3 linked regions of the Kluyveromyces lactis genome follow. The protein of the gene in region 1 purifies or fractionates together with the protein of each later gene. This does not show direct contact. Links are inferred from orthologs where the notes say so. Each region holds a gene or a part of one and is shown on either strand. Other genes may lie near its edges.

What was found. The genes of interacting proteins can lie anywhere in the genome.
Region 2: the proteins of KRE33 (region 1) and IMP4 purify together in Saccharomyces cerevisiae (affinity purification with mass spectrometry; 3 studies listed by BioGRID). This does not show direct contact. The link is inferred for Kluyveromyces lactis from reciprocal best matches to the Saccharomyces cerevisiae genes KRE33 and IMP4.
Region 3: the proteins of KRE33 (region 1) and RRP12 purify together in Saccharomyces cerevisiae (affinity purification with mass spectrometry; 3 studies listed by BioGRID). This does not show direct contact. The link is inferred for Kluyveromyces lactis from reciprocal best matches to the Saccharomyces cerevisiae genes KRE33 and RRP12.

Annotation. Positions count from the first base shown.
Region 1 is NC_006042.1:2,271,952-2,278,402, forward strand, and holds the start of KRE33 (ribosome biosynthesis protein KRE33), read right to left. Parts: upstream 2,926-6,451; coding exon 1-2,925. Other genes in the region: transcription factor NDT80, read left to right, coding at 3,785-5,521; FYV6 (Fyv6p), read left to right, coding at 5,885-6,379. UniProt on the Saccharomyces cerevisiae protein: RNA cytidine acetyltransferase with specificity toward both 18S rRNA and tRNAs. Catalyzes the formation of N(4)-acetylcytidine (ac4C) at positions 1280 and 1773 in 18S rRNA.
Region 2 is NC_006041.1:699,261-704,099, forward strand, and holds IMP4 (snoRNA-binding rRNA-processing protein IMP4), read right to left. Parts: upstream 2,785-4,839; coding exon 1,933-2,784; downstream 1-1,932. Other genes in the region: KLLA0_E07811g (uncharacterized protein), read left to right, coding at 1-1,366; MKS1 (Mks1p), read right to left, coding at 3,226-4,839. UniProt on the Saccharomyces cerevisiae protein: Required for the early cleavages at sites A0, A1 and A2 during 18S ribosomal pre-RNA processing.
Region 3 is NC_006042.1:2,518,781-2,525,013, reverse strand, and holds RRP12 (mRNA-binding protein RRP12), read right to left. Parts: upstream 4,233-6,233; coding exon 582-4,232; downstream 1-581. Other genes in the region: TAF3 (Taf3p), read left to right, coding at 1-389; MRPS16 (mitochondrial 37S ribosomal protein bS16m), read left to right, coding at 4,956-5,318; CIP1 (Cip1p), read right to left, coding at 5,844-6,233. UniProt on the Saccharomyces cerevisiae protein: In association with GSP1, required for nuclear export of both pre-40S and pre-60S ribosomal subunits. Required for the late maturation of the 18S and 5.8S rRNA of the pre-40S ribosomes and for maturation of the 25S and 5.8S rRNA of the pre-60S ribosomes.

The sequences.
Region 1 (6,451 bases):
TTCGTTCCCTGCATTTTCAAGGTCATCTTCCATTTTGTCAATGACTTCGGCAGCATTGTAAGACAACACTTCTTCGCCATTCATTTCGGCAATTTCTTGGTCCTTGATTTGAGGTAAGGTTTTTTCAATAGACTCGCTTAAAACTTCCCTGAAGAAATTGGTGAATTTCCTGATAATCTTGGAGAACATGGCAATAGTTTGATTGGATGGTAAGTTCAACTCTTTCGTTATGTCATCAATGCCCTTGTGTTGCAAACCAATTGCAAGTAGTATACACGATTGTACGCTTGATAATGATACACCGTCACCCAGCTTTCCACTAAAGTATAGCAATGCCATCATTGGTAGAAGATCAACAATGACATGATAATCCAGTAAGTTGTTAGCATAGCTTTCTAACCTCTTTAGATCGAATGGAGAAAAGATGGAATCCAATTGGTCCCTTGTTAAAACCTTATTCTGGAACGATCTGCCCTCCGAGTCTTGGTCTAGTGTTTCACCCTTCTTAGCAGATTCAATGACATTTAACGCTTCGATGGCAGTGAATTTCTTAAAGTCGAACGATAATAAAGACAAGAATCTTTTATGGAAATCTTTGGCAAATTCTGCCAGCCATTTTGATTCACGACCTTCAAGAACTTTAACCATAACACATGTATGTTCACCAGTCAAATCATTCGCTGTTTGACGTAAGTAAACTGGGACAAATCCGTTGTTTTTCCAGAACTTATGTAAAGATTTTGTTAAACCATATGAAACACCTAAGTAATGCAAAAAGTGAGGGGTTTGTTCTGAGAGTTTCAGAAGCAATGGTGGCAACGTCTTTGCATCCCTTAATTTGATTTCATCTTTCAAGAGGTCTGCTTTCTTCAAATCCCTGTCATCGACTCTCTTGATTGTGTAGTCCTTTTGTACCGTATCTTCATTCAAATCGGTGAATTTACCTTCGAAATGATCTTTCAATAACTCCAGAGCCCTAGACCCATAACCCATAGAGGCGTATTCCGGATTGGTTGCAATCCTAACAACACGGGCACCACTCAAACCGGCAAATTCTTCATCTTGAAATTGCTGTGAGATTAGCCATGGAATTAAGTCACCACCAGCTCTTTGACCTCTTGCCAAAGAATTTCTGACAGAATCCTTCGAGATCTCACCTTCCAATGCGACCTGGATGACCACTAAGGGATCAGGTATTCTGCCGCCATCTTTTGGATCGATGGGAGGCAATAAAACGAATAGTTGATGAGCAGGTGCATCACTCATTAATTGCAAGTCGTTAGGAGAATTCTTGTAATGCGATGCGACATAAAGAGCCATCATCTTCTCCAGAAAATTTTCAGAAACAGGATGATAAGAAAATAGAGTATCTCTATTGACGATGAATAAATTACATTGAGATGGATGAGGTGTGCCTCTAGCAGCAAATCTTGGATTTTTGATTAGTTGAACGTCCAAACAAAGTAATTTATTCAACCATTTTTCAACTGGGTCACCAGGAGCGTATCTGATAGGTTCATCTAAGACAACTTCTCTCAAAGAACGGCCACTTGTTTGAACTTCTTGTTTCTTTGAATCTCTGGAAACAAGTGCTGTTTCGGAATCTTCACGGCCAGTACCGTTGGATTGAGTTCTTAGCTGTTGAATCAATTTCAAAGACAAAGATCTACCGGTACCTTCATAACCGTTAATAGTGGATGCCATAAACACTAAGTACGGACCCAAAAGCTTCTTTACAAGTGGTAGTGGAATTGCGGCAGCTTCATCAATGACAACAAGTTCTGCCTGTCCCAACACATGAGAATCATTTGGAATAATATATTGAATGGTCTGTCTATGTTCTCTCTTGATGTCTACTCTGACTATGGCTTTGTTGAAGCTTGGATTGGTGGACTGAATGATATCATAATCAATGTGCTCCTGATAGCCTAGAGCGTCAAATCCTTTGAAAATAAACTCAAATAAAGTCTTCAAATTCTCAGGGGAAGGAGATGTTACAAAGATATTGGAGTAACCATGGGATACAGCAGCAGCAATAGAAATACCTAGAGCAGCTGATTTACCTCTACCTCTACCTGCCGTCAATGCTACAGTTGAATTTAAAGTTTTCTCTGAAATGGCATCAATGAAGGTCAAGATTGCATGAGCTTGATTAACCGTTTTTGAAAGAGCAACTAATGATCCCGCAGGCTGAACATCTTCTAAAGACACTTTCAATTCTTTTAGTTCTTGATTTTTTGGTGAAATTTCTTCATCATCCTTTGGTGGAAGTGGTTTTACGTTTTTTCCTCCAGATATAGGTAAAACGTTTAACTCACTATCTACTACCAAACAGTTTTCATTCGAACCCAAGGACAAGATAAATCTTTCGTTGAATCTTGCCACGACATCGTCATGAGCTTCCGTTCTATAACGAGAGTGGATATCCATAGTCATAGTGTATAACTGTTTTAGAGAGGAAATGGACTTTAACATGATAACAATGATACCACCACCTTCAACGGTTTCGATGGTTCTTGCTAGCAAATTTGGAGTCAAAGCTTCAAAATCTTGTAGGATACACATACCATAAGTGTTACCCAAAATTTTTTCAGTTTCCTTATAATAACAGTATCGAATGTTTTGGTTAGAGATGAAAGTTTCAAAAGGATCTTGTTCATTTATCTCTCTGGTACCTCTCTTGATCTCTTTCTTAATCTTTGCTTCTCTCTTCTTCCTGTGTGAAGTGAAACCCAAGAGTTTCTTCTTATACGTCCATAACACGGATTTATTCATTTTGAGGTCAGCACTCATCATTAAATAGTGCAAGTTCGGTAGCTGGTTACGAGCATTGTCACCAACGATAACGAAAAATGATCTCTGATTTGTTTGAACACCATTTCTGATGAGAGCTGGGATACGAGAATCAATAGCTTTTTTACCCATCGTAATCTAACTTCTGGTTTAAAGTTTTAAGAACACACTCTTTAACAACAAACAATGACAGTTACGTTTCGCTGGAAGTTCGACCGTTGGGAAGAGTTAGTGTTTTTAATGATTTTTTTTGTAGTAACGAAGTACAGTAATCAGGTATTTTGGGGAGAAATAAACGTCTCGTAATACTCAGATAGCTTCTCAGCAAACCACCTCATCTCATTTGATCTCATCTCATCTCGAAATAAAATTCCTACCTAATACGATGAAATAGTAAAAAGACAATGAAAAAAAAAAAAAAAAATTAGGCAGAGAAAAGAAAAGATACTACTTACCCGGAATTATTTGATGAAAATATACTGTTACCCGCATGAATTTCATGCGCAGTGTAATTTCGGCGGCTAATTTCAAGAAATGACTACGTGTGCATAATGCACCATTATGTGATGTCGACTAATATTTTAAATTCATATTTAAACTTCAGTAGTAGTTTTCATGGGTATTAATTAAAGTTTTCTTCATGACTGACGAAAAGGGAAAAACTAACATTATATAAATACCAGTATTTTTGTGTCACAAGGAATAAGGGCAATATTCTTATGAAATAGATCCGATGAATAAGATAAGAGGTTAAGAACTGACATCAGAACGAGGTTCGATTATAAGGTTGTTTCTTTACCTGAACAAGCGCAGTTGTGGTTATCTCTTATACGGAACGTACGATTCCTAGGTTTTATTTTGGTTTTATTTTTTCGTGGTCATTCAGGTAAGCTCGGCGGTTATTCCATAGCAATAGCCAGGAGGAGAGTGAGAGCTAACTATATTTTCTTTTAATAGGAACAGAGTATAGTTTTATGTGATCAAACTTGCTATGATGGAGGATTTGGACCATCTGAACGATGAGAATATCAATATAGATGAGAACGAATTTTTGGAAACACTTGATAATGCTGACGGGGACGTGATCAAAACTTTTAGGAACGCTGACGGGTCATTAAGTAGTCATTTTGACAAGAGAAAAGTTCGTATTGCTCCAAGGTCAACATTGCAGTTCAAAATAGGCCCAGGCTTTACGCCAGTGGTGCCCAATCACAAGATATTGAACGATTTTGGACAGATTCAAGAAATCAAATTGGAGCCTCGGATTGATCGAGGGTTTGATTTCATAGATGACGATTGGATTGGTTATAAAAGAAATTATTTCACCGTGGTAACTTCATTTGACACACCGGGGACTGATCATATCGAGTTCATGAAACAAGCGTATCATTTAGATAACGGTGTGGAGATCAAATACTTCGCTACCAAATTAGCCGCCAAGTGTTTGGAAGATGATAAATTGATTAACCTAGTTCAACACACTGCAAAGCGAGATAAAGGCCCTCAATTTGCTCCTCCAATACATGTTATTGCACCTGCAAATTTGCCGAAGCACCAGATTATAAGAGATGCATCGAACGTGAGAAACGAATCCAAGATGAAAAAATTTGATAGCTATTTTTTCCTTCATAAAGAAGACGTTGGAACAGGATGTGAAGTAAGGAGTGTCTTGGCAAACTACCCATCGGATCCAATCAAAAAAGTAGCAAGGTATGAAAGGATACAGTTCGCCTCTTCTATAACTTTGAAGAAAACTAGCCAACAAAATAGACGGTTTTCACTTTTAGTGGTTTTAGGCTGCTATGTGAAGGGAAGACATGACGGTATTCAGCAGTCATCACCTTATCATGAATTGGATCATTATGATGAAGAGACTGACATGACGTTTGTTCCAATTCTAATGGAGAAGACGCCGCCTCTCATAATAAGAGGAAGATCTCCCTCTAACTATTGCCAACAAATCAAAGTCATGCATACCAAGAAATCAGATTTTGATAATGGTTCCCCACAAGAAAACGATCTTGATGTGCCAGCTGATAAGAAAGAGCGGAAAAGGCGAGGACGAAAAAGTAAGCAACCAGATCTTAAAACTACTGCAAATGTGTCTCACGATAGCGCTGGTCGAATCCCAACACTTCTAACCAATGGATTGCCGTCCACATTCGAAATATCACCGACTAGTGGTAACATGAGAATTAAGAATATACAACTGCACTCGTCAAGCACTGAGACCTCATTTCCAAGAGGTTTCCAATCTGAGTCATTGTCAGTAGCATATTTCAGTAACAGTGCCACTCCCATACAAGACTCGATTTTTAAGAAGAGAAGACTTAATATTAGTAAACCTGTTGTACTGGAGTCAAACCTTGAAGAACCGCTGGATGACATTACAGAAAATATCTTTAATACAATATCTTTTGAGGAAAGGACTCCATCGAAAGAAAACAAAGAGCGATTATCTTCTACAAGCGTATTCCTCCTGAAGCATGTGACTTACGATGTTTCAGAGCCTCCTGCGGTGGCAATTCCCAGGGCCATGCTTCCAAACAAGATGGAAATTTCCTACTGTTTGAATGATTATTCATCAAGTTTTATCGAATATCCACCTCCTAGTACGTCACATAAAAGATTGCCTGGTTCGAGAAGGCTCTTAACAGCCTCCGGAAACCCTTCGGATCTATTAAACCCTGCAGACTGGTCGGATGGGCCGAGCATCTTCCGTCATTAATAGCTTTCGCCTTATAAACAACCGCAACTGTTATCCGTAGCGTAGACAAATGATGCTGCAAACAGTTCTGGCAAGGAGGGATGTATTTTGGAGAGACAGACGGAATGGGTAATCTTACTTGCGTTAATTTCCGAACTTGAAAACAGACGTCTCTCATTTTTCCATGAAAAAACAATAAATTTTACAATATAGAGAGAGAGAGAGGCGCTGACAAATAAAGCCAGGCAAACTAAACGAACGTTCACCAGAACATGTCAGACATCTTGAATTCAATTTTTTGTTAGCTAATTGGTTTCAGACAGAATTTTCTTTGCATATTCTCACGGAGTTAATACAGCCAAAGATTACTATCCCAAATCACAGATGGCGGATAACCCGAAAGCCCCAACGTTCATCAAGGAGGGTTCTGGAGATTTGGAAAGCCAAAGGAGAAACGAGCAAGTCAATCGAGAAGTTGGCGAATTGGTTACAAGAAAGTCGCTCAGCGATCAATTGAGAGAAAATTCCAAGAAGAAACGCCAACAATTTCAGAGACAGACAAAGGAAAAGAACAGCTTCACGAGAGTGTCAAACGATGACTTAGATCATATCAATAAGGTAAAGCTGGATGAATTGGAAAAGCTTCGAAATTTTTCGCAGTGGGCTGAATCTGAGGAGCGTAATCGTCGGAAACAGCTGCAATTATTGCAGCAACCTTCTACACCGGAGCACACTAACAAACAGGTGATTTCCAAGAACGATCCTATTCCAACCTCCATTAAAGTACGAAAACTAAAAACGTCCAATGGCGCAAAGAATGCGCTAGGTGTGATTAGTAAACCAAAACATAAGAAAACTGACAGAACCCAAAAAAAGTAGCGAAAGCAAAAATTGTGGTTTCAAATTTCGGCGGTAATCCGAATGAAACTGGTTGTGGAACTTAATCGATTT
Region 2 (4,839 bases), on another chromosome or scaffold:
TTTCGAAAGGAACGTCGAGGACCCGTATTCGCAAGTTTTCTCCAATCCAAGGCTTGCATCGTTATCTAGGTCAGCTTCGAATGCAAACTTGGCACCTTACGATTCGCACGATTCGTTGCACGATAACGGTTCGGGACTGTCTCTTTCGAAATCCTCTTCGAGGAAGCAATCGAACGCTGGAAGCTTTATTCCACATCATACCCTTGAAAACTTGGTGGCACCGGCGTTAGATGAAGGTGTGACTATTGTAAATGATGATTCTACTGACTTGGAGTCGGTGGAAATGATTTATTCGAGAAGACCTTCCACTATCGGATTGGACATGGCATTGGGCAGGACAAGGACCAATTCATCATCGGATGCTGCCACTTTGAGTGGGAACAACTCTTCTACAACAAGACTGATGAGGACCAATAGTGCCTCTCAGGGGTCTGGCCTGGAAACCAGACCTAGGGTGTTACGTTTTTACTCTTACGCCGATATGATATCGGATGAGAACTCTTCATATCCAAGAAGGCCTTCCATAACACAATCGCTTTCGTCGACCTTGTTGAGACAACAAGGTGCTGGTACGCCTACAGGATTTGATAGCCACAGAGCAGGAAACTCTCCTTCAAATCAGCTGGGTTCACCAGATTTTTCTAATCCATTCTTGAACAACCAGGCTATAGCTGCTGCGGTAGCTGCAAACGGTGGGAACAGTGGACAGGGTGTTAGTCCCTTGGAATCACATAGAAAACTTTCCAACGTTTCCATTCCACCACTGGCCGTTGCTACAAGACATTATTCGGGGAATCTCGCGTGCCGTTCCCCAAATACTAATACTACAAATGGACATAGACTGAGTACTTCCCCTTTAATGATCCCACATAACCCAAATAGTGCGTTGTTGCGCAAGAGTAACTTTCAAATAGAGTCCAGCGGAAGTGAATGTTCCGATGATGAAGATCCGGACCAACATCGCAGTAACAGCAACAGCAGCAACAGCAACAACAACAACAACAACAACAACAACAACAACAACAACAACAACAACAACAACAACAGAAATACACAGCATCGTGGTTTAGATCATGATGTATCTAGTGCAGGTACACTGAACACCCCACCAGTAAATCCTCAAGGACTTCGTTTATCACGTACTTCTACTCAGGGATCTGGTTTTAACAAAAAATTCTCTCCTCCAGCGTACAAGACAAGAGCGTACTCCAATGCTAGTGGAGTTTCACCGTACGCGAATAACTTCAGTAGAAGCTCCGTGTCAAGCGCGAATACCCATATACTGGATGATGTTTTTTATGATGAGCAACTTCAATCCAATACGGCAAGCGAAGTGGTGAAGAAAAAGTTGACTAACGAAATCTAACATTAAAAAGAAAGAATAAGGATGATCCATGAGCCATTCAGCGCGCTTTTAAATAGAAGGAAATTGCTACGTTTATCTGTTTTCAAGCAATCACTTGAATTTTCTGGCCAAGAACGGGTCATTTATTTTTTCCGTCTCTTCTTTGATACATCTTCTTCCCCTTCCCTTATTTTTTCTCTCGTTCAGCAACTCTTTCCCTTACCGTCTCCTCGGTACAGTCAATCGTTATAACTCTATTTTGAATTAACATTCTATTTTTATTTATATCGAAATGAGAAGGTTGTTATTCTTTTATGTTAATTTACTTACGGGTGTTTTCTTTTTCTCTTTCTGATTCTTTTTATCCTATCTATAAATACAGTGACTGAAACGCAGTTGCTTCATGCTCCAGGGTTTGCTAATATCATGTAATTGTGTTTAATTTTCCTGTATCTCCTCAAACAACATACCCTTTCCGTCGTTAAAACGAAATACGTTTGATAGAATTCTTTCCACTAGCAAAAATGTTATACTTTGCTTGATTTTATGGACATTATGATGGAATTGTCTTATTATGCTTACTATAATTATAAATAGTCCTTTCTACTAGCCGTTCTAACAAATCTTCTTAGTTGCCATTCTACGTCAGCATCTTTATTTTCTAATGTTCCTAATTTTAATTCGAACAATCTCATCTCGAACCTAGGTCCCACTTCTGCTAACTCCACACCTTCTCTGGTTTTCACATAAACATGTTGCCTAACGCTGATAAAATCTCCTCTGTTTGCAAACGTTATCACCCTTGCTGCATCTTTCTTTGGACCAGGTGGGAATAGGTGCTTTAAAATCGTCTCTACTCTCTTACCCAATGGTGTTGTGAAATTATCGAAGATTAGATGTGGATTTACTTCACTTTGATTCCCCGAATTTAAAATGTCATGTCTTAAAACGACGTTGTGTAATGTGAAAAATGCTGTTGGACCATGTGGGAAATGTGATACCGTTAGTGATGTAGGAACACCTCTATGTTCATGAAGAACAACCAAATCTGACGTTCCTGATGTTTGACAGGCATCGACAAGATTCGGCATAATGTAATTACCTCTGTTTAATCTTACCGCTGTTGGGAACAGTAATTTGATTTCTTTTGCAAACTGTGATAACCTAGTACTAGGGTCTCTAGATGTTGTCACAATAATCTTAGGTTCTGCGATACCGCTTGTTGCGCTGTACTCATCATCTATCTGTTCCTGAGCACTTTCATCGTATTGAAAATCTTTCTGTAGTTGCTCATCTTCAGCAATTTCCTTTGGTAGTGGTTTCCCCTGTGCTAACGCTTGCTTTATGATTTGGCGCTTTTGTTGTAGTTGAGATTCTTGTAGCTCTTGTGCTTTACGGTACAAGTATTCTCTTCTTTCACGAGCTTGCCTTCTTAACATCGTACTTCAATAATGTGTTGCTTGTATAGTACCAAAAAAGCGAATAGCTGATAATATACTATAATAATGCCTGTTTATAGTGACTACAGTACGTATATACACGATACTAGTCCGTCGTAAACAAAAATGTCCAACCAGCTAAGTTGTTCTTCAGCTCTAACGTCTCATCTCATCGCATCGTTCATGTAAAAATTTCAGCCTCAAAAAGAAATAATTATTAGAATAATACCAAATGGTCACGTGACAAAACCTTTATACAAATCCATAAAGCCAAATACGCTAAGAAACGCATTATCGTAACATCGGTTACATACAACAGACACTGTAATTGGTGACATATTAAAGAATTACTTGGTTGTCATTAAACGAGGTTTTATACAGTCTATCAAAGGTAATTAATATTTGTCGTGGATGATGTTTAGTAAATGAAGGAAATTACCTTCACTTCTTGACACATCTGCCATATGCTCTAGCGAAGCTTTCTTCTTCTGAGATTTCCATTCTAGTCTTGAGGAAGAAATTGTTTCTGTTTTTGGAAGGGATATCCATCGATTCACGTCTCGATGCTACCTTTTTGGCTATTTCAGTATCAAAATCTGATTGAAGACTTCCTCCACGTAATGCCATCCTTTGTTGGTGGACGTTATTAGGCAAAAACATATGGGTAGAAAGAGCAGTAGGTAAAATGGTCTGAGCAGCCGGAGGTGCATTCGATTCATGATAATACCGTTCTCTAGTAGTATCGCTTACGATACTACTAAAAGAGCCGAGTCTTCTGGAACGCTCAAATGCGACAGGAATTGGCTTTTGATGATCCAAAAGAGGTTTGTTCTGCCACGAACTTGATGGTGTCACAGAGCCCACAGCAACTATTTCCGTAGTTTCTGGAGCAACAGGTTGAGGCGGTATTTGAATTCCTGTTGGATTCTGATGTAATATGCAATTTTGATCGGTCTTCTTTCTCAGAGGCTTTTCCGATTGTTTATCCAAAGACTTTAAGACAGGTTTCTCAACAGCCTTTGCTGAAGATGTTGCTTCAGAAACATATAGTGGTCTTTTGAGCAAATCCTCATTGGTTGTAGTGTATGCTTTATCCTCTGGATCAACTTGTGACTTGGTTTGTTTCTCTTGCATGAATAGACCAGACAACAAACTTTTCTTCTCTCCGGATTCTTTTGAAGGCACTTGATGAACATTATTGTTTTGGTGTGTCTTTGAGAACATCAGCTTATCCCATTGGTTTTCATAATATTGATCATTATCTTCTTCTTCATCGTATATCTCACTATCATCTGAAAGAGAGTCCCAATCAGATTCTTCGTCCTCACTACTAAAGAACATATTCTTGTGATCTTGTCCGGCATGCACATGCGCTGCATTACTTATAGTACCAGACGTTCCAGATTTGGTGCCATTACTAGATGTATGAGCGATATTGTTGGCAACTGATGACGTTCTCGAGGAATGATTCATCTCATTTGATTTGAGGTTTTCAGCAGATCCATTGGCAGATGAATTAGTAGATCCATTGGCCGGGGTGAATGGAGTAGGTTGATTTTTCGCAAATAATGATTTACTAGATGGGTTTCTACTGAACAAAGAAGTCTGTGAGTGAGCATTTGACTTTGTTTCCGATAAAGGCACATGATTTGACACCGGGGGTTCTGATGATGATGGTGGTAAAGGTAATTGTTGTTGATGGTTCTTCGGTACATTGACCAATTCAGGAGAAATAGCGAATTTCTTCTTTGCCAAATCTTTCCGTAGATCAGGGGTGTTTGCCTGGGACCTTGATGGAACCTCCATTTTCGTCGGTAGAGGTTCAGGTGAAGAACACACAGGTGATATCAGTTTCTTCGAAATTGAGATATGAGGTCTTGTTGACGTAATATGCGTATTAGCAGTCGATTTCGGTATCGAGGCCCCACTAGAGATTGGTGTCAACAGCGCAGATGATGAACCGGACGATGTCGCCGAGGTGGAAGCTGCAGTTACCATTGTAGTTGGAGTCTTTGGTGACGCCGGTGTCACAGCTTTTGGTTTCTGCAGCTGTTG
Region 3 (6,233 bases), about 250 kb from region 1:
TCATTACCAATTCATGCATTCCAGTTGGAATCGAAATTAACGAAGATGAAGAAGGAAAAGAGGAAAGTACTGAAGACGCAGCAGAGCAAATAGTTCTGAAAAGACTCATCTCAAAGTTACCTATCGGTAACCCAAATAACAAGTTAGAAAACATAGTTGTTTCATATGAAGATGAGAATATTGACGATTTACTTGAACCCCTCCATACGGAGGAAGATCAGCAAGACTACACCGATATTGATAAAACGGATTATGATTTTGAGACCTCTGGAACGGGAGGCTTAACTTTAGGCAATGTAGTTACCACAGAGTTAGACGAAATGGAGGACATGCAAAATACATTTGAAAGAAGGGCATCTTTGGATTTTGGACACGCATACGATATATAAATATAATTTGTTTAACACAAAATTAGTTCATGTTTACGACAAAACAATCGCACTCTCACTCGATTGTTTTCAAATCAATCACATGTAACAATCTTTTGGTTCCGATTTTGTCTATTCTACTATACATCTATATACAACTATCAAATTGATAAATGGGCTAGGGCGTTGCAGTGCATATCAGGTAAAAGTGATTTATAATCTCCTCTTGTTTTTAAATCTACCATTGGATTTTTTACCAATTCTTCCCTTTTCAGCTGGTTTTGTTTTTGGTAGCTTGGTTTCCTGTTCATCATCACTGAAATCATCCTCATTGCCAGCTCTGGATCCTTTTTTGAATTTTAGTCTGTTCTTTTGACCCTTTACTGGACCTTGTTTGACAGCATCTAAGTATGCATTAACACCACTGGTAATAGCCTCTAACGGATCTTCATTGTTATTTTCTCCTCTTCTCCTATCGTTTTTCATAACCAACTTACCTTCTGCATCAAAGCTGAACACTTCATCATCGACAATCCTTCTTCTTTCATTTTTATTTGATTTTGGTCTAGTCGAGGAAATATGCGCCAATGTTTGAGAGTCCAATAAATCTAATGGGGTCTCCTTCGACTCGACAATGAATTGTTTAGAACCCTTCTTTCTTCTATCAGATTTTGTATTGTTTTTGTCTTCATCTTCACTCTCTTCTTCAGAAGAATATAGAGCTTCATCAAGGGCGGACATGAATCTAGACGACTTATTTGAAGGAGCAGCTTGCGCTGGCGCTTCTTCTTCGCCTTCATCTCGTTTACGAATACTTCTGTTACGAGACTTTCTGATATTGGCAAGCAATCTCAAGTCTTCTTCTGGGAATATTGACTCAATATAATCGTATCCAAATCTCCTAATCAATCTTTCTATGATGTGCTTAACCTTTGCCTTGAAATGGCCAGTATGTTCATGAGACCAACGTAATAATTTAGGAAGTAATTCTGGAACTTTAGGCTTCATGACTTCATCATTGAGACCTAAACAGCAAACTTTTGCAAAACCAATCGCACTTTTGACAATCTCTCTTGAATTAGAGGTTAAATATAGTTCGATTGTGTCATAAATTTCTAAGAGAACATCAACATCAACTTTATCTTTAAACTCGAAAACCAAACAAGAATATGCGGTGATTGTTGCGCTTACCATATGTTGCGATTCCCCAATTAAACCAGCTGAAATAATTCTGAAAAATTCAGCAACGGAAGAGGGTTGGTCTGGAGTGTTGGGGTCATAATTTGGAATGCAGGAAAGTTTGATAACACCCTCTGAACTATCCATTTTGTTAGCCATTTGGATAAGAATTTCAAAAGCCGTCTCACGGGATTTTTCGTTGACATCTTTGGTACACAATATGACTTCTGCCACAACCTGAACAATAAATCCTAGTTGAGTAGGTGGAAGTAAATTTACGAGAGTTCTAATTGCCGCCAACCTTGCTGATTTAGAGGAAGTGTGAACAGTTGATGCGCTGTTCAACATGACATTTTCAATATCAGATATGAAATTCGTGATGGCATCGGAACCTTCTTCGATTTCTGAAAGTTTATGAATAATACGGTATGCTCTCTTTTGGAATAATGCATTTTCTGAGTTGACGATGGAATTGAAAATAGCAAAGAGGGCACCATATGAGGAAGGTGGAACATATTTTACCATCGCGATAACTAAATCGAGCAAAGTAGCAGACATTTCATTGTTGTTCTTTTTAGCTTCTTCTTGAAGAGCAGTATTCAAGAGCCCACATACATTATTAAATGTTTGTGCAAGGTCTTCTTTCTTTGTTATTTGCAGATAAGAATCAATTGTCTCAAGGATATATCCTCTGGCGTTTGGAGCGGTTTGAGTATAAACATTGAAGAGCACCGCTAACATATTAGAAGATTTGGTAGACAAGTATTCTAAACTGTTCGTAGCACTTTCTATGGAAAAGTGTTGCAAAAGAAGCGAATCTGTAGTTGAGTTTTTTTGATATACTAGATTACTTTCGACGAGATTTCTTAGAGCACGACAAATAGTCGTTCTAAGTTCAACGTGGGAATATAACAAACCAGACAATTCAGCAGCCACCTCATCAGAAAAAGCTTCAGTCAAATCGGTTGGCAAATCACAGAATGGTGGCAATAAAGACCAGATTTGATCTACAACAGTTTGATATACCTTTAACTGAACAGATTCTTTACCAAATTTATCGAATTGAGATTCGAAATGTTTGATAAGAGGTAAAAACTCTTTGAAAAATGTATTTAACGTAGAATTCTGGATGGAGTCTCTTAATATTGGTAACAACCAGGCCCTTCCCGGTTTTGATGTAGATGGACTAATTAAATTTAGTGGTAAACATCCTAGTACAGCATCTACACCAATAGCTTCTATAGCCCCACCGATAACGTTTTCTGCCTCGGATCTCAAGTCCAAGAAGTTTTGTTCATCTGTTCTCCAACTGCCTACAATCTCTAGAGGTTTGATAAAATCTGGATTGGCTCTATATTTCAACTTTTTGAAAGTAGCCGTCAAAACATTTAACACTGCCTTAGCACAATGTGTGTATTTAATAGATAATAGATCCACAAATATCTCAGACAACTCTTGAATAACTTCATCAACTGCTTCAAAGTGCTCAGCGGAAACGGAAGGTGGATACAACAAAATTTCTGATTTGATTGCGTCAGTGACAATAGCGATTAAACATTGTGCTGCGCTAAAGTAGATATCTGGAATCTCACTTGATAGGTAAAATGATAAAGTTCTGAAAACTTCAGGAATCTTAACAAAACACTTTAATGGATCGTGAATCGCATATGTGCTGATACCTTTAGCGACGACTGCAATCCAGGCTGCTGCCAAATGTGTATCATTTTGGGATGGTTTTAATGAAAAAATGACATCAAGGGCTTTCATGAATTTATTCTCCGCTAAGCCAGATGAGACTGAAGACTCGGCCATAGACTGGAATAGAACCTCAAAACAGTTAAAAGAATTAGATACCAAAAATTGGTCCGAGGTTTTACAAACTTCCAATAGCAGATCACAGAGTTTTTCCACATGCGCAGTTGGCCATTGATTTGTTGATATTATATTGCTCAAAAGTTTCAAAATATGAATGATTTTGGAGTTCAATTCACTTGCACCTCCCATTGCTCTTAGCTTCTTATTGGAAATCGTTGCAGATTCATCAAGGATGGATACCAATGCATTAATAGCGAATGCTGAGATCAAAGGTGATGCGACGTGTTCTGCTGTTGGACCAGGTGGAGGGTTTTTTAGAATGTTGGTAATTGCATCCTGTGCTCTCTTCCTTACTTTTGGTCTTGGATCTAGAGATAGCTCAAGTAGACCATCCAAACCTCTTGTTGGAGTCACCTTTAAATTTTGAGTGTTATTCCACGTTTGCGTATCCTGGGCAATTAACAAAGCTTCTAAACAACCAAGAGCGGATTTGATCAAAGGAGCGTTAGCCTTTTCATCAGTAATACATGGGGCAACTTTAATCAAAATATCAGCAAACCTGCTCTTTAATATTTTCTTTGGTGTATAATGAAAAATGATGTCCAACAAATACATCGTTGATGTTGCTAATTGTAGATCTTTAATGGCCGCAGTTTCTGTATCGATAGTTTGATCCAGCAAGGACATCAAAGAAATAAGATAATTCACGATGTTCTTATTAATTGCCTCTTGCTCATTAATATTTTCTTCAATAGCAGCCAAGATTATGGCAATGTGCTTCTGATTCTCTAGTTTTGATGTAGATTGTCCTCTGATTTTAGCAAGCTTATCTTCAAGTTCAAGAAGCTTGGACGCTTGTTCAGGACCCATATTGCACAATTTGTTCGCTTGTCAGTTTTCAATCCCAAGTTAAACTCAGTAATTCTCTTTTCTGAGGTGTTGTTGATTATAACTCGTCTCTACTTGTTAGATGAGATGAGCGATGAGATGAGCTAGATTGAAAATTTTATACAGCTTGTGAAAAATTTCTTTTTAAGCCCTTAGTGATGAAGCAGCAAGGATCGTGAGGCAATGAAGAAAGCAGAGAATAAAAAGTAAATAAATTTTGGTTAATATATGCCAACTCTGTATATATGCGTCTGCTAAACGGGTTCAAGAACATACTATTTCATTATTTGTGTCGTTAACTTTCTTTACTGAATGCGATGTTATTTGTAATGCCAAGTCGTTTTATATGACTGCATTTTTGGTAAACTAATTCCCACCGTCAGTCTAACTCCAGTAAATAAACACTTTCTCACTTATAGATACTTTCTCATAGATCAACTTCCTATACTATTAGGCTGTAATGTCGCCATAAACGCCTAAGACGAATGTTGCTCATACGGCTGTTAGATATCCCACCTATATCACGTGATAGACATGCTTTATTTAGTTGGTGTTGAAAATCCTTCGAAAGATAGAAAAAAAAATTCAATCAACATTAAAAGCGTAATAACAGGACAAACATATTATGTATCAAGACGACCAGAGCGAGTAAACCAAGTCTCTTAAACCAGAATTTAACGCCAAGTTTGGTGAAATACAATAATCATGACGAAAGGTTTGGTGAGGATAAGACTAGCTAGATTCGGAAGGAAACATACCCCAGTATACAACATAGTTGTTACCAACAAACATAAGGCGTTGAATAGGAAACCAATTGAAGTATTAGGAACATACAACCCAATCCCAAAACCATTAACGAAGAAAGAGGTTAAACAAGGTGTTGTTCCTACTAAAGATGTGGAATTAGACTTCGGAAGAGCTAAATACTGGATCGGTGTTGGTGCTCAACCTAGTGATACGGTAACAAGACTATTGAGAAAAGCTGGAATCCTGGATGAAAATTGGGGAAAGACCTACACAAGTAGTAGGGTTGTTATTGAACCTAGGAAAGAAGTCTTTGAAGAATAGACCAGCTGTTCCGATTACTGTATTAAAAGCGGTATATCAATAATCAGGGCATAAATCACCATCTCCCAAGGCTTTCTTACGGTCAAGAACTCATGTATATAGGCTTAAATTGATAAGAGGAATTCGGGCACTTTTTCCGGTCATAAACCAATGTAGTAGTTACATACACTTAACAGCTTGGCCCCATGCGGTAAAATTGAAGTGATTAAATTTACATATCACCATATATAAGATGCTATCAGGTAATTCTACACAATAATAATAATCGTCATCAGCATATATTTCCCTGAATGAGGGAAGTATCATCGAGGAATACTGACTGTTAAACTATGTGATTTCCGAAAATTCATAAATATTAACAAAATTACAAGAACAAAAAGATGGTTTATGTTATGTTTTTGTGAATGAGTGAGTGAATGTCTAACTTCTCAAGTATTTAATAGGTATGTTTGGTGTAATGTTCAGGTTTGTATTGGAGATTAGTGCTCATGATGTTACATCGAGTCAAATTGTGTTCCAGTGCAACTATAAATTGGATTCATTTTCTATATGTGTGGGTAATCTATTGTTTCGTTCATCAGGCTGTTGACCAGCAGCAGCAGTATTTGTAGCATTTGAAGTTGAGTTCAAAAGAGTATTTACGCTTGCGGTTGATTGTGCTAGGAAAGATGATTGGGATGGGATAGAATTTGTTGGAGTAAGAAAGAAATGAGCATTACTAGAGGATCTTGACCTTGTTAGATTGGGAAGAGCAGGTGGCTGTACACCACTAATAGTATTTGACAATTGTGGGTGTATCTTGAACGAGTTACTTCTTGATCTACTAGCGGCTGTAATGAAACTATTGTTTCGTGACCTGACAAGAGCTTTTGGATTCTGAGGAGGAACTTGCGTAGTGCCTTGTGATAGTTGTAA